Oryzias latipes: one gene and its partner. The protein of the gene in region 1 interacts with the protein of each later gene in a pairwise test. Links are inferred from orthologs where the notes say so. Each region holds a gene or a part of one and is shown on either strand. Other genes may lie near its edges.

Region 1 (3,822 bases):
AAATGTACAACTGTGTGCCTCAGCATCTTAACCTGATTACTTCTGCACCAAGTGGGCCAAACAAAAGGCTGTTGGGCTGTTTTCCATATGAATTTTCCAAAGCTGAAATCTGAGCATCCTGCTAGATGGACGTAGCCTCTCGAGGATTTGAACCTGGCTCCAGAAACCTGAGTTGATGATGTGTTTTTGCTTGTAATTGAACTCTGGATGTGTCTTTTCGGTGCTGCTGCATTGCCAGCTGGCTCGAACAGCAGTAAACCTCTCACTCGTGACCTCTGGGTGTCAGTCTCATCACAAAACCTTCAGGCTAGTTCGGATGCTGCTCCAGATCAATAAAACAAACTGAAAACTCTAAGCCAAAACAGTATGTTGCTACTGCTGATAAAAACTGAGTGTCAATGTGTTAGCCTGAACACAAATTGATATGCAGGAGATGAATAAAGTCATAAAAACTGTGCTCTTATTTTAAAATGATCTGTTGAACAGAATTGAGTTATGTTTAAGTGCAGAAAAAAAAACAATAGGCTTTTTACTTTGAGTTGTCAAGAAATATACAATATATATAATAATATTAAACTGCATGATATTGTCTTTTTGCATAAATTGTTTTTTGTGGTAAGAAAATTATGAAGTATAAATGCAGTGATACACTGACAGGTTCACTCCTGACCACAAACAAAAGTAAATATATTGGTCACATTACATTTTTTTGCCCTTTGAAATTTTTGTAAACTTGATTTCAGTACTAATTTAATACTTGGTTTGCAATTGTATTACTTTCAATAAAAAGTAATAAATCAAAGGGGAACATTTTTAAGGATCATTGACTTTAGTTGAGGTTTCTTGTTTATTTTTTGTTTTATTTTGGTTGTGAAAAATTGTGTTTTGGGTTTTGCTTAAATAAAAATACTTAAATTATACTAGAAAATTTCATATGTTGTTTTATTAGAAGAGAATGGTTTGCTTTACAGCTAGAAAAGGTAATACATCCTCTTGTATTTTAGTTAAACTAAGCTGCACGCATTTCTACAGCACTCTGAAACTGCAGCAGTAAAGTTTGCATCATTAAGTCAAAGTGAAGTCAGTGTCAGTGTCATCCTGTTGTTTTGTTGCTAAAATAATATTTGGCAGTTAATGAATTTTTTTTATAAATTAATTCAATTTCTTGTATGAAATTTATCAAGCAATTATGAGTAGAGAATAACTGATTTGTATAGGGGAAAAAAGTAGCCAAACTTTAAGTACTGATGATACTTAACCCTACGATTCCATGTTTCTGTTGACTTTTGCTGACTTGAGGAAAAGCACAAATGATATATACATAAATAAATAATCTAAGTATTTGTGATTAGGTTGAAATATGATATGTTAAATGTACAAATGTAAGCGTGTGATTTTGGCCTTAAAGTAATTCAACTTTAAAAAAAACTTTGAAATTTCTTGAGCTTTTTTTTATTTTCATTATTTCAATTTAAACTTTTTTTATTTCTCAGGGACACAGCAGATTAAAAGCTTTCCATGCAATGAGCCTGAATTAGCTAAGTGGTTGTTTTTCATCTCCGGACAGATTTAAAAATTGTCTACCTAAAAAGCTAAAATACACCAATTAAAGACATATTTTAAAATCACAAAAAAAGTTATTTTAAAAATTAACACTCTTTTATGTTCACAAGTTGCAGGTTTTGTCCTAAATGCTTTCCAGTAAAATTGATGACCCATTTCTGAAGGTGCTGTATGGATAGAAAATAGTCAGATTTGTGATTGTCTGATCCTCGATTTGTAACTCCTACAATACATCTTGTACATCACGGTATACTTGAAAAAGTGGGAAAAATGTCAAGTTTCTACTAGATATTATTCACAATCTGAGTTCAAAGTGGCTAATTAGGAAAACTCTGATGACCTAGCATTTTAGCAGCATTTAAATGCATCATCTATGGACAAATCCGGAGGTGTGAAAAGAGTCTCACAGCCTGTCCTGCACCTGTAACTCCAATTGGTGTGTAAATATGGTTTTGTGTGCGTGTATCAGGCATTCAGTGCTTACTATTTAAAGATTTCTATGCATAGGAGCTGTGGTTAGTTTTAAGCGGAAATTTCAAGTTGTTTTCTATTTGTGTGCTTTTGATATTTGTTTGTATGTGAATACACAGTTACACACAAAATGTTTTGTATGAATTGAAAAACAAGTATTATGCACACACAAATCTAGTGAGACTATTTTTTCTACATAGCACAGCTGCATGAACAGTGTTAACTTCCATCTTATACACTTGCCTTATACAACGCTTACTCTGCATTGCTTGTGGTCAGGGTCAGAAAGTATCTTCCTTAAAATTATGTTTGAATTGTTTGGAAGCCGAACAACTGGAATATCAATGGCAGTGTAAAGAAAACAGGCAGAAGCATACAGTGCTAATCCACAATGAATGAGGTTTTCCTGCATACAAATCAAAGGGGAACATTTTTAAGGATCATTGACTTTAGTTGAGGTTTCTTGTTTATTTTTTGTTTTATTTTGGTTGTGAAAAATTGTGTTTTGGGTTTTGCTCCTCCCTCATATCACATTCACACCACGAGTTTTCATTCATCACATCTAGTTTTAGCTTGCTAATTACTGTCAGTGTTTTTAAAAAGCTCTTAGGATTTGGGATTTAATTAGGGATCCTCTTTTTTAAACCTGCCATTATTTTTGATTTAGTCAAGTTCCAATCCAGTTTGGTGTTTTAAATGATATTTTAGTTATTTAGTGATTTAACATTGTCCTCTTTTGTTTTATTTTGCCAACCACAGTTATGAAGGATGGCAAAGTTGGACAAAAATGATAAGCAGTAAGACAAGAAAAACGCCACAATTTTTGCTTTGCAGTTTAAATGACAGAAAATACATGAAAAAGATAACTTCAAATGTATCTGATAACCATACTTCCTTAGTCAACACTCACTTTAACCCCTCATTTCATTGTTGATTTTTTTCTCTAAAATAATCAATTACATCATTTTTAAAGCTGCAATAAATTCCCTCTATTATGTTATCATCTGCCTCTGCTTGACATATTGAAACATAGCTAAAGTTTCACTGAAGAGCTGGTAACTCTGCACTTCTTTTTCATGTCAAGATGTCCAAATCAGAGATTACAGTAATAATAGCAACGCAAATCAATATCGCTTCTCCAACAACTGTTATAGTCTTTGACTCAGAAAAGCTGTCTGTGCTCACTTTTTAGCTTCAGGGGATCCCAAGTCAGAGAGATAAATGACTCAGGCAGAGAGATCAATTACTTTGCATTCATAATTGACTATTACAGAAGATGCTATTAAACAAGACGAAAAAAAAACACACTACAGTTTTGCCTACATGTATTTGTCAAGTGGAAGCTATTAATTCTTGTGAACATTGCTGATCTCAGTCACTCCTCAGTGGTTTCGTGGAAATATTCCTCCGTGCTTTGGCGGAATCCTTTTATTTCTATGAAGACTTCTCTTGGAGGAACACATGAGAGTGCGAAGAAAAACATTTTTACAACACAAATCAATATATCTCACCTTTTCTTTATCCCTCATAGACCCTTTGCCAAGGATGGACATCTTCACTCCCGTCTCCTCTTGTAATCTTTTCATAGAATTTCCCCGTGGTCCCAGCAGCTTCCCCACAAAGTTAAACTATGACATAAAAGGGATTTGGGGAAGTTATTTGTACTGCCAGCGTTAAGGTAGAACACCAATCATATTTTGAAAAACAAATACTTCCAAATTTGTTAGCAGCATGCAGGAATTCAGACGTTCTGGGAAAAAGGTTAAACATAAAAGACACCTTCCATCT
Region 2 (4,556 bases), on another chromosome or scaffold:
CATTGGTTACCTTTAAGACTTTTTGGAATTTTCTTGGAAGATTTTCCAAACGTATTTCCAATTCTTGTTTTATATACTCAACTCAATGTATAATAATTTTGATTGGAAATAAATCTGGATCTGTTGATTTTTAATGCAGCTTCTTGGAATCAACAATCACCAAAAACACCTGCTGTTTTATTTGCATGAAGAATTGTCATGTTTGGGGAATGTAAATAAAGAAACAGAATTTTTTTTGTTATGCAACAGTTGCCTAATTGAAACCAAAAAAAGTCAAGTTTGCTCGTTTTTATGGAAAAGCCACTGCATGCTGGGATCCTATGATGTGCCCTTTGTTCCAGCTTGGTGAGTTGGGCGGAGGAGCAGGGAAAGGTGGAGGTGGAGGAGGCTCTGTGAGGCAGGCAGGAGGTGCTTTTGGAAAGCGAGCGGTGGTGGAGGAGGAGCGGTACTTCAGGTAAGAAATGAAACAGGTTTTCGAGGAAAACTTCATGCCAGCGTTTCCCTTTTTGACAAGTATGGTTTTTGTCTGCAGAAAGAAGGAGATGGAGCTGCTGGAGGTGCTGAGGAGGCATCATTCGGAAGAGATTGAGCACCATAAGAAGGAAATAGAGCGTCTGCAAAAGGAGATCGACCGCCACGTTGGCAAGATTAGAAAACTGAAACATGACGATTGAAGTTTGCGCTCACAACTCTGATAGAAAGGGTGGCAACGTTGAAAACAATGTAAAGATAATTGACTATCTGCTCATTTTGGCAGTTAATGAAGCAAACGATTATCTTTTATATACGTTCCAAAATAAAATGATTGATTTTCTGTTGGTTTATGTTGATTTTCATTTCCCCTGTTTATGCCATCTCAAAATTTAGGGTTCCCGGTTACACCTGGACTCATTTTTTGTTTTTATTTTAAGCCTGTTATGGTGATGATATGGAGAGGTTGTGAACACTTCTGATGGCACAGCTGGAGATACCTGGTCTTATGTGATCTCAGCTGCTAAGCAAAGTCAGATCTGGATAGTCTTTGGATTGTTCTGTAAAGGTACCACAAGCTTATGGGGATGGATACGCTCCATCAGACCAAGAAGGGCATTTGCTGCAAAACTGAAGCCAAAACTTTCACAAAGGTCTGTCATTTCAGGCCTTAGCTCTGTCTGAGGGATTTACCCATTTAAGAAATTCACTCAGACCTTGTAAATACTTTCCTACCTCACTAAACCAAACAGGACAAATGAATAAACCAAATGAAACGAGGAATAATTATTACATGGATTAAATCACATTTTTAAAAGGGCAATATTTCAACTTTAATCGAAATTTACAATCAAACACCCCATCATTTAATCATAAAATAAATTACTAGTACTGGAAAAAATGTAAATATGTTGGTTTCTAAGTTATGGTGAGGAGATTGATTACACTTGTAAAAACAGTTTGATTTCCTTGTAGCCTCTGGAAATTTACACAATTTTAAAGCGGATATTACAAAACATAAAATTGAGAAAAATAAAAAATATTACAGAAAGTCATGTTTCCATTTTGAAGACCCAATGACACGAGCTAGATTTGCAAACCAACGTTGTACCGCAGACTCTCACATCTCGCGATGTTTCCCTCAGTGGCGTTGTTCGGGCGAGCCGAGACGAGACCGCTGCCGTCTGGAAAAAATTTGTCGTGTGGTAGACCTGAACATTCTTGGCATTTAGCATTTTCCCAACGCCCGAAAAAACAAGTGTTTCATATTTTTTCAAACATTTTCCAGCTAGTTTTCTAAATCATCCTGGTAAGTCTTGCTAACTACCCGTTTGTGCCTTTTACGGCGCGCGCGTGTAAAGGTGTCTGGGCTGCACGGCGAGGCCTTCGTGTTAGCCCGTTAGCTAGCTAGGACGTATTCTTGTGTACTGCTAAAATCAACACACATGGACTTTAATACTTCATTTAAACGAGTGGAACTTTTTGGATCTCATTGATGACTGTTTTTTTCTTAAGCTTTTAGAACATTTTGGGCCACGTAGTATTATAAATGAAAGATGTTAGCTATCGATCAGGCGCCATGTGAAGGGGGCGGTACTGTGGAATAAGCCTTTTAAAATGTATGAGCGGGTCGTTTTATTTTGAAAATCAGTAATAAATAACATTGTTTTTTATAATAATACTGACATTTAACGTAACGTTTTCGTTTAAAAAATCTTTGAGTTAAAAGCCAGATATTCCGTAATTTGATAGCTTGTTTCTGGTATGTCAAGTTGACAGTAAATGAAGTAATAAACTAAAACTGTTTTTATTCATGTCTATCTAACAGGAGAATGGCTTCCGCTGAGGTGAATGGTAGTTCGGCCCCAGTAAAGGAAGAAGAGGAGCCTATGGATGTGACTACAACTACAACTCACACTGAAAACTACCAGACCCTCATTGATGCAGGGCTTCCCCAGAAAGTGGCTGAAAATCTAGACAACATTTTCCAAACAGGTGGCTGGTTGTTGTTACCTTCAAAGCTCCAATGTGTTTGTTGTTGATGTGTTCAGTTTAGCTCACTTTGTCATGATGTTTAGGCCTGGTAGCGTATGCAGATCTGGATGAAAGGGCCATTGATGCTCTACGGGAGTTCAATGAGGAGGGAGCTCTAACAGTCCTGCAGCAGTTTAAGGAGAGCGATCTGTCCCATGTGCAGGTATTACACTCAATTATGTGCTCATCAGTACTTTTTTAAACAGTTTTCTAAAGTATCATTTGGTCTGTTTAATTGCAGAATAAAAGTGCGTTTCTTTGTGGAGTTATGAAGACGTATAGGCAGAGAGAAAAACAAGGCAGTAAGGTACAAGAGTCCACTAAAGGCCCAGATGAGGCAAAAATAAAGGTAAACGCTCTTGATTTGCAGTTTTTTTGGGCTAAGTTGAAATGCCAAAATGTTCTCTCAGTTACAAAGCTTTTCCCATTTTTTGATTGTTTACTTTCCAAGGCTCTCTTGGAGCGAACAGGATACACCCTAGATGTCACCACGGGACAAAGAAAGTATGGAGGCCCCCCACCTGAGGAGATGTTCAAAGGCACACATCCAGGGATTGGAACAGAGGTGGGGATTATTTAAAGAAGCATGATTACACATCCTGTTCGTTAAAGATCCACTCCGACCATCTTTTGATCTATTTTCAAAGTGTTCTCACTGGTCTTTTCATATCATTTGAAAAACAATCAAAAACCTGTGCAGTTTTCTAGATTATAGTTTCCGCAGAGCGACAGGAGTTCAGTAGAAATTCACCTGAGTGGACCGTTGCCGTGAAGCGCCCCCGCCCCCCTTTTCCCTTTGCAGAGCAGAGATGACAAATACAATCTTTTTAAATTTGTCTGCTCCTGATTTACATAGATTTGAATAAAGAAATACCCAAAAAATACAAATTTGAGCTAAATTTTCTTCCTCTATTTCAACAGGAAAACGCCACAAGATCAGTTTAAAATCGTTCACATACGCATGCTAAAACGAAATATATATACACACACATATATATATATATATATATATATATATATATATATATATATATATATATATATATATATATATATATATATATATATATAAAGCAGGTAAATAAGAAAGTTGAAAATAAATATGGATAGTTGAATTAGAAGGGAAATTGTTTTAATTTTATATAGAATTGTCATTTTTTTCATGATTGATTTAGTTTTTGTGTTTTGTCTTTCTTTCAGGTGTTTGTAGGAAAAATCCCCAGAGATTTGTATGAAGACGAGCTTGTGCCCCTGTTTGAGTCTGCAGGTCCCATCTGGGACCTGAGGTTAATGATGGACCCCCTTTCTGGTCAAAACAGAGGATACGCTTTCATCACATACTGCAACAAGGACGATGCCCAAAAGGCCGTCAAGCTTGTAAGTCCATTTTAAAATCTCATGGATCCCGTTGGATATAAAAGAAAGTGATTTTGTGGAAGAATAGTTTGAGCAAATGTGTGTTTTCTTCTACTGTGTTTCATTACTTTTCAAGTATTTGCTGTTTTTTGTTTTTTTGTTTTTAGTGTGATAACCACGAAATCCGCCCTGGCAAGTATTTGGGAGTTTGTATATCTGTTGCAAACAACCGGCTGTTTGTTGGATCAATTCCCAAAAACAAGACGAGGGAAAGTATACTGGAAGACTTCGGCAAGGTTACAGGTCTGTTTCAAGTCAATGATTGTATTTGGAGAAACCCTTTCAGTCGGTTGTCTGTCGCTGACGAGTGATGCGGTTTTTCTTTGCAGAGGGTCTTCAGGATGTGATTTTGTACCACCAGCCAGACGATAAGAAGAAGAACCGTGGCTTCTGCTTTCTGGAGTACGAGGACCACAAGTCTGCAGCACAAGCTCGGCGGCGTCTAATGAGTGGGAAGGTGAAGGTTTGGGGCAACCCCGTCACCGTTGAGTGGGCTGACCCTGTAGCTGAACCCGACCCAGAGGTCATGGCAAAGGTGAGCTATTTTCCTGTTCAGAAATGGAAGTACCTGTACCTGTAAAATGATTCTAAGACATACTCTCCTCTGTCATAGGTGAAGGTGCTTTTTGTAAGGA

Evidence for each region.
Region 2: the proteins of khdrbs2 (region 1) and hnrnpr interact in binary tests that used the Homo sapiens proteins (3 or more experiments, as listed by UniProt). The link is inferred for Oryzias latipes from reciprocal best matches to the Homo sapiens genes KHDRBS2 and HNRNPR.

What each region holds. Positions count from the first base shown.
Region 1 is NC_019873.2:24,520,865-24,524,686, forward strand, and holds part of khdrbs2 (KH domain-containing, RNA-binding, signal transduction-associated protein 2), read right to left. Parts: intron 3,663-3,822; coding exon 3,546-3,662; intron 1-3,545. UniProt on the Homo sapiens protein: RNA-binding protein that plays a role in the regulation of alternative splicing and influences mRNA splice site selection and exon inclusion. Binds both poly(A) and poly(U) homopolymers. Phosphorylation by PTK6 inhibits its RNA-binding ability.
Region 2 is NC_019869.2:6,651,825-6,656,380, forward strand, and holds the start of hnrnpr (heterogeneous nuclear ribonucleoprotein R), read left to right. Parts: upstream 1-1,610; 5' UTR 1,611-1,780; intron 1,781-2,299; 5' UTR 2,300-2,303; coding exon 2,304-2,466; intron 2,467-2,549; coding exon 2,550-2,668; intron 2,669-2,746; coding exon 2,747-2,854; intron 2,855-2,956; coding exon 2,957-3,070; intron 3,071-3,705; coding exon 3,706-3,882; intron 3,883-4,028; coding exon 4,029-4,164; intron 4,165-4,250; coding exon 4,251-4,456; intron 4,457-4,534; coding exon 4,535-4,556. Other genes in the region: ATPase inhibitor A, mitochondrial, read left to right, coding at 342-454, 533-674. UniProt on the Homo sapiens protein: Component of ribonucleosomes, which are complexes of at least 20 other different heterogeneous nuclear ribonucleoproteins (hnRNP). hnRNP play an important role in processing of precursor mRNA in the nucleus.